Nothobranchius furzeri: one gene and its partners. The protein of the gene in region 2 interacts with the protein of the main gene of each other region in a biochemical or structural test. Links are inferred from orthologs where the notes say so. Each region holds a gene or a part of one and is shown on either strand. Other genes may lie near its edges. The genes, in order: multiple PDZ domain protein, crhr1, disks large homolog 4, pdzk1, dlg1b and magi3a.

What was found.
Region 1: the proteins of crhr1 (region 2) and multiple PDZ domain protein form a complex in vitro, tested with the Homo sapiens proteins (2 studies listed by BioGRID and IntAct, with this or other methods). The link is inferred for Nothobranchius furzeri from reciprocal best matches to the Homo sapiens genes CRHR1 and MPDZ.
Region 3: the proteins of crhr1 (region 2) and disks large homolog 4 form a complex in vitro, tested with the Homo sapiens proteins (2 studies listed by BioGRID and IntAct, with this or other methods). The link is inferred for Nothobranchius furzeri from reciprocal best matches to the Homo sapiens genes CRHR1 and DLG4.
Region 4: the proteins of crhr1 (region 2) and pdzk1 form a complex in vitro, tested with the Homo sapiens proteins (2 studies listed by BioGRID and IntAct, with this or other methods). The link is inferred for Nothobranchius furzeri from reciprocal best matches to the Homo sapiens genes CRHR1 and PDZK1.
Region 5: the proteins of crhr1 (region 2) and dlg1b form a complex in vitro, tested with the Homo sapiens proteins (3 studies listed by BioGRID and IntAct, with this or other methods). The link is inferred for Nothobranchius furzeri from reciprocal best matches to the Homo sapiens genes CRHR1 and DLG1.
Region 6: the proteins of crhr1 (region 2) and magi3a form a complex in vitro, tested with the Homo sapiens proteins (2 studies listed by BioGRID and IntAct, with this or other methods). The link is inferred for Nothobranchius furzeri from reciprocal best matches to the Homo sapiens genes CRHR1 and MAGI3.

What each region holds. Positions count from the first base shown.
Region 1 is NC_091742.1:68,620,705-68,624,204, reverse strand, and holds part of multiple PDZ domain protein, read right to left. Parts: intron 3,482-3,500; coding exon 3,390-3,481; intron 2,887-3,389; coding exon 2,805-2,886; intron 78-2,804; coding exon 1-77. UniProt on the Homo sapiens protein: Member of the NMDAR signaling complex that may play a role in control of AMPAR potentiation and synaptic plasticity in excitatory synapses. Promotes clustering of HT2RC at the cell surface.
Region 2 is NC_091746.1:33,510,673-33,514,172, reverse strand, and holds part of crhr1 (corticotropin-releasing factor receptor 1), read right to left. Parts: intron 2,046-3,500; coding exon 1,892-2,045; intron 1,807-1,891; coding exon 1,746-1,806; intron 1,478-1,745; coding exon 1,405-1,477; intron 1-1,404.
Region 3 is NC_091750.1:46,505,815-46,509,314, reverse strand, and holds part of disks large homolog 4, read right to left. Parts: intron 2,298-3,500; coding exon 2,128-2,297; intron 1,961-2,127; coding exon 1,824-1,960; intron 1,164-1,823; coding exon 1,019-1,163; intron 441-1,018; coding exon 305-440; intron 228-304; coding exon 71-227; intron 1-70. UniProt on the Homo sapiens protein: Postsynaptic scaffolding protein that plays a critical role in synaptogenesis and synaptic plasticity by providing a platform for the postsynaptic clustering of crucial synaptic proteins.
Region 4 is NC_091754.1:24,604,905-24,608,939, forward strand, and holds the start of pdzk1 (Na(+)/H(+) exchange regulatory cofactor NHE-RF3), read right to left. Parts: upstream 2,801-4,035; 5' UTR 2,710-2,800; intron 524-2,709; 5' UTR 520-523; coding exon 313-519; intron 244-312; coding exon 30-243; intron 1-29. UniProt on the Homo sapiens protein: A scaffold protein that connects plasma membrane proteins and regulatory components, regulating their surface expression in epithelial cells apical domains.
Region 5 is NC_091751.1:34,938,310-34,941,809, reverse strand, and holds part of dlg1b (disks large homolog 1), read left to right. Parts: intron 1-3,025; coding exon 3,026-3,189; intron 3,190-3,500. UniProt on the Homo sapiens protein: Essential multidomain scaffolding protein required for normal development. Recruits channels, receptors and signaling molecules to discrete plasma membrane domains in polarized cells.
Region 6 is NC_091755.1:38,365,285-38,368,784, reverse strand, and holds part of magi3a (membrane-associated guanylate kinase, WW and PDZ domain-containing protein 3a), read left to right. Parts: intron 1-715; coding exon 716-1,330; intron 1,331-3,500.

The DNA of each region.
Region 1 (3,500 bases), on a different chromosome or scaffold from region 2:
GTGTGTCTCACCTCAACCTTTACCACAGGATGAACATGTTCGGACGCATCACCGTCGTATTCTGCAGCCAGCTGAGGCTGTGAGAGAACAGATGAACATTTAAATAGAGTCAGATCAATGTGTCAGCCTGATATATTTTCTTAAGTGTTCTTAATGTTTATTTAAAAATTAAGTCAGGAATCAACGACATTTACTACAAAATTTCTACCATCTCTTAGTTCAAAGTAAAAAAAAGAATAAACACAGTAGTTCTCTAGGAAAATGAGCCCTATGACCCTGAGATAAATATATCATCAAACTGCACCTTAGTGTCTTAACGAACAACCATTAAATAAACTAAGCAAATAACAAATTATTAAAATGCTTAAAGTATCAGTCTTCCATTATCAGAAGTTCATTATTTTTTATTTTTCTGTGTTTTAAGAACAGCTAGCTGTGTGGTACTGTCACCTGTCTTAACCTCTGAGGACCAATGTCCACATATGGGGATGCTGACTGCTTGCAATTAAATATTTTATAATGCCGGTTTTTATTGCCAAGTTTTAATTAATCTTTTTTACCTTATTTAAGTTCAAATAAATTTAGAACAAAAAAATTTTTTTAAACTCATTATTTATTTAGTTATTATATCCTAACAAACCATTTCCGAGTTAATTGAAAATCTATTCATTTTAGTCCTTTGTTAAAGTTAAAGTCCCAATAGTTGTCACACACACTTATGTGTGTGCGACATTTGTTCTCCGCATTTGACCCATCCCCTGGGGGAGCGGTGAGCTGCAGAAACAGCCGCGCTCGGGAACCATTTGGTGGTTTAACCCCCAATCCAACCCATTAATCCTGAGTGTCAAGCAGGGAGGCATTAGGTCGCATTGTTTCAAAGTCTTTGGTAAGACCCGACCAGGAATCGAACCCTGATCTCCCAGTCTCAGGGAGGACACTCTACCACTAGGCCACTGAGCTTTGACAGCCCAAACTATGTACTGGCAGCTTAGAGCCGTACAAACATCAGAAATCGGTATTGGCTCTCAACACCAGAATTGGTGCATCTATAAAACTACCTTGTGCTTTTTAATTTAAAGGGACTTTTCGGAGTTTTGAATTTTTATGCTCGCGATTGCCCCCTCAGGCCAAAAGCTTAATGGCAGCTTCAATAGTAGGCTCGTGCACGAGGCGTGCATGCTGTACGTGTACACTCCTTAATGAAAATAACAGCTGAGACAGTCCCGTGTGTGTGTGTGTGGCCCGGAGGACAGAAGAACACAGGAAATTAATAAAAATAATGTCCCTCTGTCTCTGCAGCTGCACTTTCTCGTCAGCCGGCCGAACGTGCAGTGTGTGTGTGTGTGTGTGTGTGGCCTGGAGGACAGAGGACAGGAGAACGTGCAGCTAATTAATTAAATAATTTGGTTCTGTACCTTTCTCTTCAGCACAGCCGACAAAGGTTTATGATGGGTCAGTCCTCCTGCATGCTCAGATCATTCCCTTCCCTTGCTTGAAAAATTGTTCCAAAATGAAAGTTGAACCCACATCTTTTTTACCTGTGAATTCAACGCCGTTCGGCAAGTCTCAAATAAAAATCTGGGTGTCTTATTACTGTAAAACAAATTATCACTAATGTAAAAAAGAAACTCTTTATTCACACCCAGAATTTAACCCAGGTCTCCTACATGAGAGTCAGACGTCTCACTAAGTGAGCTAAAGTGCCAGTGACATTCTTTGTATCTGTAACGTTTATACCCTTGATGACAGCTGAAACAACGTCAATCCAAAGAACGGTCCGGAGCGAAAATGGCTATTTTGTTGCTAATTTGCAGGAAAAATCTAGAAGAAAGTAGCTAATGGTCCTCAGAAATGTAGCTAGGTTCATCACTTGTCGCTGTGTTGGCACTACCTCACTCTCTGCTGCTAAAGCGACGGATAGCAAATGCTACGGGCGATGCCTGTGCGTGAACGCGCATGAAGCAGCCTGCTCGACCCGAGCAGCTCTCTTTTTCTGTGATTTTACGGAAAAACAGGCAATCACAGTAAAAATGCCAGGGCTCATTCTACAGGACCAGGGCCTTGCAGGAGAATGTATGAAGAAGAAATTTATTATTTCTATACATGTTTTGGCTGTCAAACTTCCATAATGCCCCTTTAAAGTAGAATTTTTTAAAACAAGCAAAAATAAAACACAAACAATTAGCCCATCAGTAAAACTAATATTTTAAAACCTTTTGGTTAAAACCCAAGTTATTAGTTGCATCTGGCACTAAAACCTACTGGTATTATTATTCATTCTGTGGCAGAAACTTCATGAATATTTGCAACAATTGGAATGGAAAACTGCTAAAATTATCATTGTCTTTTATCAGCTTAAATGTTAAAATGACTCATTTTTGCTCATAAGTACAAGGAGCAATTTCAACTGAGCCAAAGAACCATGAGTGGCGTCAGAGCCACAGGATGCAGACCATTTCAGTAGGTCATTAGGAGTCTATTTTTATAAGATGGAGGTAAAAAAAAAAAAAAGAATATGAAGTAGCTGCGTTAATTTAAAAAGAAATCAGCACATCAGTCTCATTAAAATCCACACTGGTCCACCTCGGCATTATGAGTTTTCCAAACTACAGTTTGAGGTTTTCTGGGTGTTTAGGGAGTTCCCTCGACCACACAGGGGGATAAACACAGAAGTCAGATGCATGACGCAGAGTAAAAGCCTAATTATTGTACAAGAAGACCAGAAGTAAAGTGAAGTCAAGCGTCACTTTCTACCAGCTGCACGATGGGAGTGTGTTGGGAGTTCTTGTGTTTTATGATCGCACCTCAGCAGCGTGGGGCTCCTCTGCGCCTCCCTCGTGCTCTCTCACAGGTCCCACAGCCATCTGGTTCAGTGCCTCCGTGTTCCTGTTCCACAGAGTCATAACTCACGTAAACCACTGCTCCTCTGCTCCGGGACAGAGGGAATGGTAATATACGCAGGCTGCTCTGTGTCTGTTTCAGCAGGGGGGGGGGGGGGGGGGGGGGGGGGTCAGGACTGGGATGTGAGTTAAGTAGGGGGGTTAAGTAGTTGGATCCTGGATAAGACTAAAACTAGGGTCAGAGGTCAAACATGTCCCTGGTGATGATGAGGCTGAGAGTCCGTCTCTGTTTCAGGCAGCAGAGCAATTATAGGTAGTAAAACTCATCTTTGATCACAAAAAAGCTGCTTTTTAATCATTCTGTGAACAACTAGTTAAAACATACCAATAATAATTACTATTATGTTTAACTAGCAGACAACTAAAATTATATTGTTGCTATACATTTTTAAAAATGTTGTGCAACACTGAGCAAATCTGTAGAATAACAATAGCTTCCTCTGGTGGACATTTAGAAGAATTACACCAAATACAACCGTTTTTTTTTACCTGATAAAGATGATTTTGACTTTGGATGAGGAACTCTTGATAATAGACGACGCATTCTGATGGCTGTGGCCATAAAGAACGTGTCCGTTGATCTAACAGGACAGAGATGAG
Region 2 (3,500 bases):
ATCCCTTTAGTTATGCTGCTGGAGGACAGACTGACCACATTTATTCATTTTGCTGCCTTTACTCTCCATGTTTTATTTACTGTTGTTGCTGCCAGTAATCTCCAGCTCTCATTGGAGCGGTTCGCAGCCGAGTGTGAAGCAGCTGGGATGAGAATCCAGCCAAGTGGCTGGGGAGAGGGGAGAGCAGGCAGCAGAAGGCGACAACATCCTCTGCTGCCCACGGATAAACTGAGTAGGAAGTGACGCCACCATCCGTGTCAGCTCTGAAGATGTTTGCAACCGCAAACGAAATGTCAGCAAGGTAAAGAAAAACCTTATCTGTGTTTAAAAAAACAAAAACAAAAATGGAATTTGAAGACAAACACAGCAAGAAAGTACAAAAGATGGGGAGAGGGAAGTCTGGGGCTCCCTGCTTAGCCTACTGCACTCGTGACCCGACCTCGGATAAGCGGCCGAAAATGAATGGATGGCTTCCATTGATTTGGTTTTCTCTATTTTTTATTGAAAACTTGACAGGGCCAACATTTCTGCATCAGTGTCTCTTTCCCGTTTCCTCAGACTAAAGATGGTTCATCACAGTTCTATTTCTGAAGGACGTTTCGTTCCTCTTGTTAAATAATTAGCATGATAACAGAATGCTAACCTGTGTCACAGTCACCTGCCTTCAGCTTTGATCATGCTATTAGGATGATCTGTTCAATATGTGGGCTGTTTGTCCGCTTCGCCACAGGTGTATCGGCTTAGTGTCAAACACTTGATTAAAGACCATGAGCTTTAATCCAACTAGAACAAGACCTGACTCCTGTCAGCTTTTCACATAATCAAAAATGGATATATTGAGGCGTGTCCTGTCCACTGAGTGGGAGGAGCCTAGATAATAATAAAAGATAATGCAGAACTTGCAGCTGCTTTTGAATGATCATCAATAGTGATGGTTTCAGGGGTCCAGTCCTGTTTCTCTGTTTTAACTATACAAATTATGTTTATTGAAGCTACTGAATCATAGCCTGTATTGAAGTTTACTTGTGACAATGTTGAAGTGTGTCCTGTTCAACCCTCCCATATTAAAACTAAACACTCTCTGTTCAAAGAGTTTCCCTCCACTGTTCTGCTCAGGATGAAGGGCTGTGTTGGTGAAGATTAGATAAAATTTGCTGATTCCAGTTTACATGATCTAGATTATAATCTAGCTGGATCTAAATCTGGGCTGGATCTGAAACTGTCTCACTAATTTTTGTGTAGTGCTTTGAGGAGACCAGTGTTGTTACCCGATATAAAAGTCAATTGATCTGGGTTCAGTCAAAACTAATCTGTTCAACTATTTGTCCAAGAAGGCAGCATAAAGATTAGTCATAATCTCACAGACATAAAGAAAAAGATCTTAATCCTTTAGGGTGGGCTTACCAGCAGGACCAGGATCATCGGACCTTGGTAGATGTAATCTGTATAAACACCTGCCTTCTTTCCAAACCAGCATCTTCCAGTTAAAACACAGAAACCATTAGACATCAATCAGACAAATATTGAGATTGTGACATTGTGAACTGATGAAATTCTGGATTTTTGTCCGCTGCAATGAAACAAAGTCTTCTGTTCAACATACTTCATCAGGAACTCAGTGACATCCTTAACCTGCAGAGTTCAGGTTGGTGTCACATGACACCTGGCAGGTACAGATGTGTTGCATTAACCTGTGCTCCACTTGGACCACTGAGACATAGATTCAGTGTTTTTGTGTGACTCACTTCTCATTGTCATAGTACAGCTTCCCAAAAGCCCAGGCCACAATGACAGGAAACGGAATACCTATGACCAGAATGGATGGACGGGTGAGAGGACAGAACTGGCGGGAAAAGGGAGACGGCAGAGCAGGTGGAAAAGGTGAACAAACCCCAGCCAATGCAGATGAACATCCACTTCCTGAGCTTGTCGGTGGAGTAGGTGAGAACAACGGCAGTGTGAAGGTAACATCCCTCACCGAACATCCAGAAGAAGTTGGTGACATGAAAGTAATTATATGCTGCTGTCACCAGCTTGCACCACGCCTGAGGTGGGAGGAGGAGGAGGACAAAGGAAGAGGACAAATAAAGAGGAAAAAGAAGATTTAGGAAGGACAAGAGATTGAGAAACAAGGATAAGGAGAAAAGAAGTAAGAAGGGAAAAGGAAGAGAAAGAGGATAAGAAACAGGTAGGGATGAGGGGAGGAAGAGAAGAGAGAAGGGAGGTAGATTAGGAGAACAGAGCTGTTCCAAAGGATTGTGGGATTTGTAGTTGTACTGGTGTGGTTAAGGAGGCTGTTTAAGAAATTGGCAGATGAGAACAACCAAATGAAGGAGGAGGCCTAGATCGGTGCATGAGTCATTCATGCTAATGAACAGCACATTGGAAACAGACCAGCTGGAACTGTGTGGGAAGGAAATTCTTTTAATTGCTTCATTATTAACTCCTCCGAAGTGCATGAAATATTTACACCTCCAAACATCTTCCTGTCCTCGGAGAATCAATGTCTTCAGATTTCAGTGAAGTTGTCCTCTTTCACTGAGCTCTGACAGAACTGACACTCTGGCCTTTAGCCCTTTGCTCTGATCCACCACGATGTCTAATGTTCTCCTACATCATTTATAAATGTCTTCAACTTAGTTCTGTGAAGGTTCTCTACATTCTTGCAATATACAGACATAATGTTTATCGTACAGAGGAGACTCACACATGTGTCACAAATTAGCATTTATTATATCACTGAGCTGAGAACCAGCTCCTCTAAGGCCTAGTCCATACGTAGCCGGGTTTTTTTAAAAACGAATATCCGCCCCTCCAAAAACTTGCATCCACACCACCTCGTTTAAAAAAAAAACTCTGTTCACACGTACTCGGATAAATACGTTGTTAAGGACATGCCAGACCTGTAGGCGGCAGTGCTTCCCCCGTTCTTAACCTCGTCCTTCGTCTGTGGTCTTCCACAAGGAGCAGTAATTCCGCTTGCAAAAACAAACAAGCAGAAAGCGCTTGGACAATTGATAAAGCGAGCGCAGCTCTGTGGGCATCCATGCTGTCGGCTAGTGTAAACACAGGTCGCACACGTGATGTCAGCATTTTTTTGTCGCGGAACGTGACGTTGCGGACCTTAAAGCTCCGGTTTTGTCTGTCCACACGCAGACACCCAAAATGGAGAAAACGCAGGTCTTCACTTTGGCCAGAGTTTTTAAAAAGATCCGTTTTCGTGTGAAAAAAAAAACTCAGTTTTCGTGTGGATGACAGGCCAAAACGTAGAAAAATATCTAAGTTTTGGCAGATCCCCGGCTACGTGTGGACAGGGCCTAAATCTGAGACCATGCTCTTGAGTCAAAAAGGGGTAGAACACCTGTTCCAGGTCAGGGACAAGTTCCAGCCCAAAGAGGAAAGTTTTAAAAAGGAGAAGAAGAAGAAGTTTATATATATATACCACTTTTCACAGACACAAGTCACAAAGTGCTTCACAGACAAAAAGTAAATCAGTATAT
Region 3 (3,500 bases), on a different chromosome or scaffold from region 2:
GTGTGTTTACAGCCATTAAAATGCACAAGAGTGTGTGTGAGGAATTCAGCGTTGATGAAAATGTCATTACACTGAGGATCTGATCGCCCTTGTGAAGCTCTCCGCTGAGATCGGCCGGCCCTCCTGCCAGGATGAAGGAGATAAAGATTCCTTCTCCATCCTCTCCGCCAACAATGTTAAAGCCCAGACCCGTGGAGCCTCGATGGATCAGAACTCGCCGGGGCTCCCTGAAACGTTTACCAACAGAGGCATCAATAAAGCTGAAAACTCAATAAGAAGGCACCACGCAGGAGAATGGTATCACCTGGGGATGTCATCGTCTCCCAGCATGCCGTGCAGAACAGGAGAAAACCGGCTCGGTGAGGTCGGAGTGAGGGCTTGTGGGTAATCAGATCCAAGATAGTTGGAGTGGCTCAGTTCAGTATCCATATGAGAATACGCTGCGGAAAAAGTTGTCACAAATCAGAGCTGTGATGTGGCGATAAACACGATGTCATTTGTCACAGGTGAGTTTAATCAGCAGAGTCTAAATTCTTATCAATTTACACGCTTCTATCCTTAGAATGTGTGAAACTTTTATGACTTTAAGAAGGATTGTGTTGGAAATCTGCATCCTACTAAAATCTGGGGTATAAAAGTGTCACCCAACTGTTGTTTAGCCCCAAAAATTCACAGTTTTAGTAGCTCAGATGATCACGCAAGTGACTAAATACTGCAAAAGTACAAAAGCGCATCAAATTTTCTGTGAGTAAACATTTTATTTATAATATTATATTATTTCTGAGCTAAATAGAAACTCCAGAGCTGAAATGTTGCATCTCATTTGTGTTGTCTGGCAACTCTTATCTTATGGTTTAGAAAAGAATGAAAAATTGTCTATCTGTAATCAAAGAGAAATGTACTCATCATTTTTATTAAATTAATGGTAAAATGCTTAGACTAAATGATGTGGCATTAATAAATTTTTGAAACGCGATGAGAAAAAGAAGTGCCACTAAAACCAGAGCGCGGATCTTACTGCTGGTGAGGTCTGGTGGGTTGTAGGAGTTGGTCAGAAACAGGTTGTTTGGCTTGGCCACTCTGAGGTACACCACCTCGCCCGTGTTCTTCAGAGCTCCAACTGCATCCTCGTGCATCACGTCCTCCAGACACACGTTGTTCACCTGCATGTTGACGGCAAGCAGGATTGCAAACAACTGCAGCTGTAGCGTAGACGTTCACCAGCAAATCCAAGCAGCTGAAACTTTATTTTACTCTAAATAAACATTAAGGTCAAGTTAGTGCATGCTACAATGAGATATGTATAACAATGTCTGACCTGCCAGTCAACATGTATTTATCCCCTTTAGGAGAACAGATGCTAGCACAAAAGCTTTCAGCAGTGAGCCGGTGGCCCCTCCATCTCTCTACTAACCAGACACGCATGCACAGGGAGCAGCAGATACCCAGGTATTAAGACATGATTAATATTAGCTAATCAGAACAATGCAATCAATATTTTATGACAAGTCTCAATGCACAAGAAATGCTGTCGCTGACTCACACACCATTTAGAGGAAACTAAGCTCCATTTTGAAGCTTTAGGTGTGAGTTTCTGTGTTGTCCACCAGACAGCAGCAGAGCTGTTTGAGAAGCATGATGTTGGATGTTTACAGTCATCCATCTGGCACATGCAGCATCATGTTAATGAGCGTAATGTCAGAGAGTAAAGCCTGCAGCTGTAAAGGCTTGGCTTCAGGACAAACGTGCATAATGTCTGTTTTAATGTGTGTGTGTTGCTATCTCTGCATCCATGTGCTTATTATTATATCTGCATGACTGACCGCTAAGATCTTGTCCCCGATCTGCAGACGTCCATCTTTGTGAGCCGCCCCGCCTTCGATGATCTTGGTGACGTAGATGCTGTTATCTCCCGGTATGTGCTGGTTTCCCACCCCTCCAGCGATGCTGAAACCCAATCCTGAGAAAAAAACCAAAGAGATAAAAGAAACACAGAGTGAGCAAAGAATTGGGGGACGCAGAAGAGATTTGCTAAATCCAGAAGGGCACAGCTTAGTTGGGCACATGGCGCCGCTAAGCCCACACAAAAGCCTCCGTGCTGGTAAACCAGCCCAGTCCTCCATGTACCTTTAGGCCCTTTGATGAGTTTGATTTCGGTGACTTTTTCTGCTGCTGGTTTTCTGCGGAGAACGTAGAGGCGGACAATAGCACCTGCCTCTTTCAGAGCCTCCACAGCCTGGCTGTGTGTCACCTCCCTCACATCGACATCATTCACAAATAGGATGCAGTCGTTCACACTGAGAAACAGAAAGTAGGCGACATGGAGAGAGTCGGTGAGTGGGAAAGTGAGAACAGCATGACTTTGGTGACTATATCAGGATAATTCTCCATTAGAAAATGTCAGAAACTAATTTTTAACATTTAAAGATGGTAGAATTTCTTCCTTGACTTGATCAAACCATAACCCTTATACCCTCCCAGTGCATTTTTTGTGCACATGGAGAAGAAACGTTAAAAAATTCAAGGATTAAATGCGGGTTAGTGTCGACATACGCTCCAGTATGAACCTTGAGAGCCATTTTTGGTGAGGAAAAAGCTTTGGTGCTCCTGTGTCAGGAAGTAGACATTAGTTGGATGAGAGGAGGTGGAAAATGGACATGGAGTCTTACTGATGATCATTCATGATATCCAAGCATCTCGCCTCTGATTGACTAACAGCAATGCAACTTTCCCACTGCCTTCATTCGCTCTTAAATGTTGTTTTATCTCCACAAATAACAGAAGCCTGAAGGAGTTCTGCCATGTTTTGGGGTTGCTAATGCTAACGGTTAGCTTCTACTAGCCAAGATGTGCTCTGCTCTCTCCTGGACACTAAACCAATAATAGCCTTCCAGTTCACGAGCCAAGATGGCAGAATGCTAATTTACAGTGTGATGCAGATCCGTGAGGCCTTTTCTGACCCGAGCATTTCATCGTCCACTTTCATTCAGCGGCTAATACAGGAGAAGTAAGGGACTATGTTCATGCTCCTCATGCACGTGGAGCTGAGAGACCGATCATATTTCTAAAAGAACAAGTGTTATACGTCTCAGAGAGCCTCACTCTGAACCCTCCACAGCATGAATTTTTGTCTTTTGGCTGAAAAAAAAATTGTACACCCCATATTTTTGGAGCTTGGTTGTCTCTGAAAATATAGCCATCAGAAAATTTGCCCCCCCCCCCCCCCCCCCCCCCCCCCACCCCCCAGAATCAGGTTTTCTGCAGTGGTATATCAGTGGTTTACCAACCCAAAAAATTATATATTTATTAGAAAACAAGTTTATTGGATCTAACCAATAAACACTTCAGTTTCCAAAAAAGCGTCTATGCATCAAACCTTATTATTAACTTATTTTCTTATTTATGTATAAAATATTGAAATTCTGTGTATTTAAATGTGCAAAACAACAGACTGATAGTAGTGAAAACATTTAGCAAATATGCTAAATAAAAAATAAGGC
Region 4 (4,035 bases), on a different chromosome or scaffold from region 2:
TTCTTTAACCCTTTACAAATGTACCTTACCTTTAAATGAGCTAATGGAAAACCCAAATCCTGACTTAGATTTGACCAGGTAGCAGAGTTTGGGCTTCCAATCTTCTTTAGCCAATCCGTTGGCAATGGGTGAGCTTTGAGGGTCGGAGAGGTTCACTCCGAGTGTTTTTGCTTGATTGTAAGACGATTCATCCAGAATGTGGAATGTGACAGATGCTCCACTGTTTCTCACCAGCTCCACCACCTAGTAGAGGGACACCATGGAAATTCACTGCTGGTGATTGGATCTGCTGTGTATCTACATTCTGCTCACCTCTGAATGGGTAAGCCCATCGACAAATTTTCCATTGACCCGAAGGATGCGGTCTCCATCTTTCATACCAGCCAGTTCAGCTGGACCTCCCATTTCCAGGCAGCGAATCAGGTGGCCCTCCTTACTTTGCTCCACCCTCAGAAAGAAGCCAAATGTCTGACCAGGCCTCTTGGCCAGGGAGATCACCCTTGGCGTGTACGTGGCCATTGTCCTAACATGAACAAAGAAATAATAAACGGTACTTAACAGAGATGCAAGAAAATGTTGAGACAATGTAATATCGCAATATTCTGTATGTATTGTACTTCTTTTGTGTGGTGCAATTCAAACTCCGGCCGCTAGGTGGCAGCAGCTTTTACTGCCTTCATTCTGACAAACCAGCGAGATCTCACAATAATACTGAATGTGTCTTGGAAGCATTTGGCCTCAGTTTTCAAATAAAACTGTTTTAACATCTGCAAATATTGTCAGCTTTTAACTTCACAGTAAATCATATCGTCTCCCTTGTATTGCACACACACACACACACACACACACACACACACACACACACACACACACACACACATATATATATATATATATATATATATATATATATATATATATATATATATATATATATATAGTTAAGTCTTAGGCGTAAGGGGTGGGGGGACAACCGAGGACCAGCGGGAATCTTTTCAGTATGTTCTAATGGGAAACAGGCTTCAACACAAACAGTTGTTTTCCACTTGGTCCTAGAGCTCAACCAGTGTCTACTTAATATAGAGTAATATTGTTTTTGGACGATAAAAAGTGCAGGGGTCAAAACATGACTTTGGCAAAAGTGTGCGTGGGTGTGGGGTGTGTGTGTGTGTGGGGGGGGGGGGGGTGACATGCCCCCCCCCCCCCCCCCCCCAACCACACACACACACCAAAATTTATATCCATGCATGGATTCACCCATCTTGACTCGTGATGGGGAAGGCTGTTGTTGGTTTAGCATCCAGGAATCAGCAGAGAACGTCTTGGCTAGTGGAATCTAGTTAGCATTAGCAACTCCACCACACAGCAGAACTCCTTCAGGGTTGAGTTATTTGTGGAGATAAAACGTTAACTTTTGTCACGTTGCTGTTAGCCAATCCAATGCAAGATGACCAAATATCAGGAAATAAAACTACTAATCTTGTTGTCTGAAGCTACTTTCTCCTTCAGCTTACTTCTCTGTGCTGAAACAGGAGCATCATAAATTAGAATCCATTTCTTTCTGCTAGAGATCATTGCCGATGCATTGATTAACTGAGTGTTCCACACCTTTAAAGTGTCAATAAATTTGACCAAGCCAGTTAAGCCTTAGACTTATTTTGGTTTTAGAGCTTTGAGATTGGAAAATGCAATCGAACTTAAACAGCTGTTTTTCCCCTTTACATTTGTTGACGATCATAAATTAGTTCACCTTGTAATCTATTGTGCTACGCATTAAGCATATTTATCAGAGTGGATACTTCAGCACATAAAGACGTGACAGAAGTGCTGATAGAGGATGAAAAGTTACTCTTCCATGACAACAGGCATGTAATGATTTGCAGGACACACAGCTGACAGTGAAATAAAAATCACTGGACTTTGAATCCAAATTAAGGGTTGTGGGTTTAACTCTCAGCGGGATGCTATAAAAGGCAGGTGTGCTTATATTAAAAACGCAAACACTCATGTCTTAAACGAGATTCATTGCAACGTTTAAGAAATTTGTAAATTAATAAAAACTTTGGGTTTGTTTTCATGATGTATTAAATACAAAATGTATTTTAATTAGTTTTAACTATTTCAATGTATAATTTAGGCAATTAAATAATTAAAAACACACTAATAACAACTTAAAATAGAGTTATGACCTTTATCTTAGAGTTAAAAAGGTGTAATATTTATTTTATCCTTATAAAAGAAATGTTTAGCTGTATGCTTCATTTGACTTTATTAATCTTGTTTTTTTTACTTGTGCTTACAGCTGAAGTATTGATACAACTATTAAAAGTTTAATAGTTATTTAAAAGCGGTACATATTTGTAATGTGGTTATAAAGTTTACGTCGTATTAGATTTGATTTTAACAGCTTTTTCACCAAAATATAAAGCTAGTTTAATATTAAGAGCCCCAAAGAAGTAGATTATTCTGTTCAATACTTAAAAATTGGAAAATAATATCAATAAACCCAAAGCAACAAACAGTGATAACACCGTTTTTAACTTGTTGATATTTTTTCACCTGTTAAAGTATCAGAGGTTTTCCAGCAAATGATTAAACGTGTTCTTTAATCTCCACAGGAAACCTTTATGAATCTTAAAATTTCCCCAAATTTATTTAAAAAAAAGTATAACAATAAAAAATAAAGAGTAAAATAAACATTTCACTCACCGACTCTCCTCTGTTGAGTGTCTGCGTCTAAAGGGGGAGCTCACCTGTCACTGATTAGCTGTTATGGCATCTTAAACCTGCACTCCCCCCTCCCCACCTCCCTAAGGGACTTTGACAGGTCAAAGTTCAGCCTAAAGAGTTATTTAACAACGTCTTGTGTCATGAGTGTCTGAGGCTCTTTGCAGTCTGTCGAGTGCGAGCAGTCATCTATTTATTTTTCAAAGTTTGCAGCAGGTGGCTGCTGAACAGCCATGTTCACACATCATAGTCAGAATCCACAAGACTGCATCCTGTTTATGTTTATTTATCTAAAATTCATGAATAAAACACACAGAAGAGGCCATCAGCCATTAAGATTAAGAAAACATACTTAGTATCTGATTTATGAAAGTTTATGTTGTGGAAAAACAACATTTAGCAAAAATAAATGTCCAATTAAATTCAATATGGATATTTTTTATTATATTTTCATGTGTGGTTTATTTATTTTTTATTACTTTTATTAGTTTGATTTAGATAATCTCTAGCACTCAGTGAAGAGAACGAGGATTTATTTCACAGAGGTTTTATTGTAGTTTGTCATGTACGTACTCCGTCTACAAGGTTTTTTATGATGTTCCCAGTAAACGTGGGTGTATTGTTTATTGTTACTGTAGCTGTAGGTATGAAGGTCTTGTACTGCTGTCATATGGACTGGACAAAGGTGTGTTTTTACAGAAACGTGTCATAAATGTCAAATTCTAGGAGCAAGCATGAGGACTTGGACACTAGGGGACTTCATAATAGCATCTCAAATATTTTAAAATAAAGGTAAGCAATAACTAAAATTACAAATTAAATTAAATGAATCATGAAGGAAATAATCATCTGTCTTTACCTTATTTGTGGCTGATATAGGACATTTTTTTCTAAACTAGATGGAAACTTTTATTTTCATTTTGATTCTGCTTTAGTAAAATATCAAATGATTCTAAAAAAATAAACTTCTTATGCATGTTGGAAAAACACTGATTCTGTTATAAGCTCTAAATCATATTCAGTGCATTGATTTCTGTCAGAAAACCTTTGAGTTGGCACATTTTCTTTATTTTTTTGGCACACTGCTGCCCTTAATAGGGCATTACCACTAGAAGCATTAAGGCACATTGATAGAAATTAGTCGCTGATGGTGGAAAGATGCAAGGGCATCCATTATCCAGGTTCCGGACAGCCTGCAAGAATGTGGATCACATTACAGCCTCCTGTTCTATGCTGTAAGAAGTGCAGCACAAACTGCACACAGTCAAAAGTGTCTCTTTCAAATTTACAAGGGAAAACTGTTAAATT
Region 5 (3,500 bases), on a different chromosome or scaffold from region 2:
CCCAGCAGCCAGTCCTTTGTGTCGTTTTAACGGTTTTTCATTCAGACTAAAAGCGAACCGTTAGTGAGAGATTCTGATGTTTTCTGGGTTCTGGAGTCGGTTCTGATCTGGTGGGAGTTGAACCGCCTGTCTGAAGCCCGTTGACTTGTAGGCGGAGTGTTTTCCACGTGGATCCGTGTCTCTGGTGCTGCCGGGTTAGGACAAATCTCGGGCTTTGGACCTTTATTTGGAATTAAAATCATCACACCTGGTTCTGCTCCTCAGATGGGTCTGCTCTGCTAGAACTGGGTCGGGTCTGTGATTATTGAAGGTTCTGGTTCAGATCTTGTCTGAAGATCAACAGGAATGAGTCTGACTCTTTTCTAATAAAATGATCCATTAGAACCGTAGAACCCGTAGGGACGGTTCCGGGCTTGGAGCTCGTGTTGCTTCTGCAGAAACATCTCAGCGTTCCTCGACTCCTCCAACCTCTTCCGATGAAAATCCTCTTCCTCAGGAACTATAAGCGACATGAAACCCGAGTTCTGGTTCTGACCCATAGCTGATGGTCCTCGCGTGTTCCGACGTTCCCTTCATCTGCTCGTTGCTGCTTCTGTTTCCTTGAAAAGTTTTTAGACTTTTTATGATTCCCAGAATAAATCCCTGTGACCTATGACCTTAATCTTGCGACCACCAGATTTGAATCCCGTCGATCCGATCAGGCTGGAGGAATAAAACCGTTCGGAGCGTTTTTCATGTCTGGAATTCTGGGATGGAGGAACCAGAAGGCTGGAGAAGATTCCGTAGCCTAAATGTTTGAGGGTGAAGGAGCGGGTTCTGCTTGGAGCCTGGCTGGAAAACCGAGCCTGGAGCAGCTTTAAAGGCCAGCGGTCTGAGAGGAAACATCTGTGCCTGCTGGCGGTCAGCTCCTGCTTCCATGGTTATTTTAGACGTTCCTTCTCTGGAAGCTCTGAACAGAGTCCAAAAATAAAGAAGGCATCGGTGCTAAAATATCCCCCTGGAAAGACTAATTATCTCCCACAGAAGGGAAGGGAATTACGGGAATCATGGGATTCAAATTCTCCCTGAATTTACCTCCAAAATCCCACAAACAGGAACTTCTGGTTTAAAGATAATTGGCTCATAACGATTTCACTTCCAATTAGGGTTGTCACGGTGTGAAAATTTAACCTCACGGTTATTGTGACCAAAATATCACGGTTTTCCGTATTTTTTTAAACGTGCTACATTTTCAGACAATTAAATAAACCCTGTATATCAGGAAAATATTGTCCTCAGTTTGTGTCAAAATTTTGCCTAAAACGTGTTATTTTGTAATTATGTTGTTTATTTGTTTACATTTTTTCCCTTTAGTCTTTAAAACACCAATATTTGCCCATAACTTCTTATTTTTTGTCTGCTTGATGTCATCATTTTAAAAATATTAGACCAAATGATACTCAGTACTCAAGTAGCCTTCTAATCAGATACTTTTTTACCCTTACTTGAGTAATAAACCCTATATCAGGAAAATATTGTCTTCGGTTTGTGTCCTTCCAGTGAGCTTTGCAGATGTGGGAAAATGTCATCAGGCAGTAATCATTGTTAAATTCATAATTATTCTCGGAGAGAGACCAACTCTTATCTGCCCCTGGGAGCCCCGTAATGCATAGCGTCATTTCAACATGGGGGTGTCCGCAACACGGTTTTTATGCAGGCTGCTTTAGCGACTCGTTGCATTCTCCCTCCACCCAAATCCTCGGATCACACATTTTAGCTAAAACGCTAACGTTAGCTTGCCTTGCGTTGACTGTAGAGTTGTGGGTGATGGTCACGCAGATGTGTCATGAGATATGAGGCGTTGCTGCCTTTCACAGAAACTTTTTCTGCACGTGCTGCAAACAGGATAGCCGTCTTCTATCAAATGTCCCTCGGCATTCTTCAAATATCCCAAAAAAATGCCCACACTTCACACTTTGTCTTCTTTGAGGGATAATAAATGTCCTGAGCGCTGCCGTCTCCTCCTTTGGCCATTATTTCAGCTTTAGCTTCAAGAAAGTTTGGATTTTAAACAACAAAGTGCGCATGTGCCGCCTGCAACTTCAGCAGATGATACAGTGGCTGGTAAGGGTCACCGCGCCTACACCACAGCCACGGTAATCCACCGAGATAATATTTTTTTTTTAAAACAAGACGGTTATTATTATTGTCAATTTTTTTATTGGGGTTTACCGCTACACCGGTTACCGTGACAACCCTACTTCCAAGCAAATGAATCAACTTTGAATGGTTAAATTTAAGTGAATAGAAACAATTTTATTCTTAAAGCACTACAGGAAGTAGAAACCGTTGCTGTAGAGTCTAAATCTGAAGTTTCAGATGAATATGTTCAGATTCCCTCATCCCAATCCCGATTAATGTGTTTGAGTTCCCAGCAGCTGCTTTTATTCCTAAATAATTCCCGTTCTGATAATGTAATCCTCTGGTTCCCATCATCTGGGTCGGTACGGGTCGGGTCAGCAGAGAAAAGAGATGCTGCTTTTTCTTTTTTAATCTTTATGAAATGTTGATCAGGAGCTGAAGAAGACTCCTGTGGTTCTGGTGCTGACCCAGTTCTGAGGTCTTGTATGTGCAGTATGTGAATCGGTACCGGTCCAGTTCTGATCAGATTAGTTATCAGTAGTGATGTCCCAATACAACTTTTCACTTCCGACACAACACCGATATGGCAACCTTCAGTACTGACCGATACCAGCAGGAATGCCACAGTGATTTTACTCATTCGGAGAACAAGAGCCGATTACAGTAAGTATGAAAAAAGTGACACTTTTTTCTTTACCTTTGTTGCAATAACTGTATTTATATGGGAGGTTTTGATGCCGCCCGATATAATCTGATTGTTTTTGGGCCGATATCGATATCAGAACGGGACTTCCCTAATCATCAGGTTTATGGATTCCAGACGAGTTTCTGCAGCTTTCAAACTTTTAGTTTATGGTCTGATTAAAGCATGTCCCTGTCCCTGTCCCATGCTCTGTCCTCCCAGATATCCAGGAATTTTACGAAGTGACCTTATTGGACAGTCAGAGATGGGCGGAGTCTTCCAAGGGGGCGGACCCCATGGCGCCTGTCCACCTGTGGGACTTCCCGAGTCTTCAGAGCACAACGGTGACCTCGGAGACTCTGCCCAGCCTTAGCACCAGCATCGAGGTAAGATGACGAAGAAGAAGAAAGAGCTTTTCTATAGCGCCTCTCAAGATAAAAGTCACGAGGCGCTTAAAGGCGTAAGAACAGATCGGTCCTGCTGGAACTGGTCGGAACATTCTGGACTCAGGCGTGTTTCTCTCATGTCCCGGTTCTGAAGGTCCAGTAGATGCACAAAGAGTTAAAGTAGAAATGGATAAAACTAGAATTTTAGATAAAGCAGAACTGAAGCTGCTCTAACAGAACCGACTCCCAAGTTCTCCTGTGAGGTCCTCAGGATCTGATCGGACAGGAGAAATGGGTCGGTACCGGTGGTT
Region 6 (3,500 bases), on a different chromosome or scaffold from region 2:
TTCCAAGCGTCGGCTGCGTTAGCTGCCGTCTGACTGTGGCTGCATTAGCATTAGCAGCCTTCTTTTCATTGTCTGCGGTGAGCCTCGAAAACTCACCGTGCTCCGCCAAGTGTTTAGTCTTTAAATGTCGGATCAAATTCATCGTGTTGAATTTTTTTGAAGTGCTTCCTCCGCGGGGTATGTTTTCGTTGCAAGTGTTGCAAGACGCAAACTTAATATCACTCTCGCACACCGTAAAGAAGTTCCGCACGGCAGACTTGTTTGTCTTCGCGGGTTTGCCGCCACGCGCATGCGCACTAAGCGGGGAGAAGCGGAAGGGTGAACTACCAGCCGGGAAGAGTAAGCGCCAGTGCCAGAGCGGAAATGAAAGGCAGCGATCGGCGATCACAGATCACACACTTTTGCAGGAAAATCGGCCGATAATTATCTGCGGCCGATCAATCGGAGCACCCCTAGTTTTAATCACAAACACCCTCACCAGCCACGCCGCCTGCGGGAACCAGGGCTTGTCTGAGCCGCTGTTGTTTTTCTAGCATCTCAAACTACTTTGAACATTCTCCTGACTTCTGACCTGAAGAGGACGTTTTCATTCACTGGGGATTTTCTCTTTTTCAGACAATTCTTTGTAAAGCCCACAGGTGGTTGTAGGTCCAAATCCTGGTAGACCCAACCATTTATGTGGAGTGTTTGTGAAAGCTCTTTGTTCTTCTTTTAGGTGATGTCATAGTGGACATAAACAGGGCGTGTGTGTTGGGGAAGACTCACGCTGATGCGGTGCAGATGTTCCAGTCCATTCCAATCAACCAATACGTAGACCTGGTCCTGTGCCGGGGTTACCCTCTTCCTGACGACTCCAGCAGCAGCGAGGAAGTGTCGGGGAGCCTCATTGCCTCGAAGGATGCCTCCTCTTCTCCGTCCACTTCCACACCACAGAACGTCCCAGATGGAGGAACCCTGTCCCGGCACACAGCCTCAGTTCCACCCATGACTAATGGAGGAGGACGCCTTCCACATCCCCAGCTGCAGCAACAGAACCTTCCTCTCACCCTAAACCAGGAAGGGCCAGACTCCACTCTGTTGCAGCCGGAGCTGGTGAGCGTACCATTGGTCAAAGGCCCGGGAGGTTTTGGCTTTGCCATTGCCGACTGTCCCCTGGGTCAGAAGGTGAAGATGATCTTGGATGCGCAGTGGTGCCGCGGCTTGTTGAAGGGCGATGTCATCAAGGAGATCAACCGGCAGAACGTTCAAACGTTGAGCCACTCCCAGGTGGTGGACATCCTCAAAGACCTGCCGGTGGGCAGCGAGGTCAACGTGCTGGTGCTTAGAGGAGGTGAGTCCACGGGAAGGAGGGGTCATGCTGCAAACTTTGTTTTTTTTTATCAACCAGAGTTTTATTCTGACACCAAACGGGCTCTAGTCTAAAGATGAAGTGGAAGTGTGTCCCTCACACAGATTTGCATCACCTGTTGCTTGCACAGCACTTAAAACAACAACAACAACAAAGCAATGGGCTGACAGTCCAGTCTGTATTTGAAATGAATTTCTTCAGCAGTGAGGCAGCAGCATGATTCGCCCTTTGTCTAAGATCTGCCGAGTCTAGAGGAGGTCAGAATGACGGAATCGTGTAAATGTTTTCATTTATAAATGACAGGATGGTTTGTGTGCAGCACATTGTGCTTGAATACATGCACACACACACACACACACACTCCTTGTTAAATAAAGCAATTTCACGCTCTAGTCCATGCCAGCTCTGCATCATCTACCTCCCAAAACAGGAAGTAAGCAAAGTGCAGTCACAAGTGCTGGGAAGAAGAGGGGGGGGGGGGGGGGGGGGGGATGACGGTTTTACTGATTCACTCACTGCCTTAAGAGAAGGAGGGAAGGGAAGGCATGGAGAGAGCAGGAGCGTGGTGGGTAATCATCACCACTCGCTTTCTTGCTTCGTGCTTTCACAGATTTGAAGGGCTCGTTCTTTTTTCTTTGCCTTTGCTGCAGTGCAGTAGCCTAGATTCAAGAGATCAACGTTGCACCCACACATCAGATGCACTGAGCCGGGTTCTGCTGTGCGCTCTGGGGGCCTTATCTATCTGTGTGTGTGTGTGTGTGTGTGTGTGTGTGTGTGTGTGTGTGTGTGTGTGTGTGTGTGTGTGTGTGTGTGTGTGTGTGTGTGTGTGTGTGTGTGTGTGTGTGTGTGTGTGTGTGTGTGTGTGTGTGTGTGTGTGTGTGTGTGTGTGTGTGTGTGTGTGTGTTCTGTTTAGTAACTGTAGCGTTTGTAGCTCCCAGAAAACATTTCTATTCTTTGCAACAACATTCTCGTTTGATTAGAAACTGAAATGCAGATGTGCAGGCAGATGGAGAATTTATAAACTTGAACTAGCTTGTAGAACAACGGCACATCAGCGGCAGGAAATCCAAATTAGTCGAAGCATAAAATACTACAAACAACATAAAATGAGCTGAAAATGGAAGAGAGCAGGAAAACGGGCGTGAAGACCAGCGGAGGAAAGGACCTGGTGAGATGTGAGCAAAACTAGTCACATAGTCAAAAATGACCTGTTTTCTTAAGCACTGTAAGACTTTTCGAGGTTAAGGAGAAGAGGTGGAGATGTGCATGAGTGCTGAAGTACAGACCTGCAACGGCTGAATAAAACTTGACGTGCAGGAAATGTTCAAACAAACCAGTAAACGGCTCCTTGAATCTTAAAGTAATGAAATAGTCTTCATTAGTATTTTTAATTACACAATAACCAGTTGTGTCTGTGCTGTTTTTACTGTTTCGGGAAGGGACATTCTCATTCTTCAGGATGCTGCCATGCTTCCTATGCTAAAGGAGCCACTGAAGGATGATGAAGCGTATTAGAGGATAAACACATGTTTCTGTATCAAACTTCTAAAACACTTTAGTCTGTTGGAGATTGCTTTCTGATCAGACTGGATAAATATTCCAAAGTGACCAAAGCGCTCTTAAAACAGGTCAAGTCTCCAAAATCTTTACATTAGTTCACCCAAGTATATATTTGTTGCAAACTTAAGAGTTTTGCAGAGTTTCGTGACATCATTTCACGTTAGCTTTTGTTTAAGTTCAGCAGCAACACGTTTTGGTCGCGGCAGGTTCAGACTAGTCGTCCGTCTCATCAGCTCTGATAGGAACAGACCCACCTGGGTAAGATGGTAATGAGTGATGACGTGAAGCTGCTCAAGTCAAAGGTTCGGATCGTTTGGAGAACAGCTCCTGGTACAACATCTGTTTTAAACATAAGTAAGAAATTCAAATGAGGAGAAACTAAGAACCAAAGTAAACCCAAAAGTTTGCATGAATCTAAAACTTGAGGATTTGTATCTGCAGCAAGTAAGTGTCCACTTTAACCTAAAACACACGTTTCCCCTGGCTGTAGGTCTACCTCCTTCCATCCTGTAACACAGGCCTACGATTCCTGATACTTGAGTCTACTGCCCCCTGCTGATTGAACAGATTCTGTCACTATTGATTTACCCTT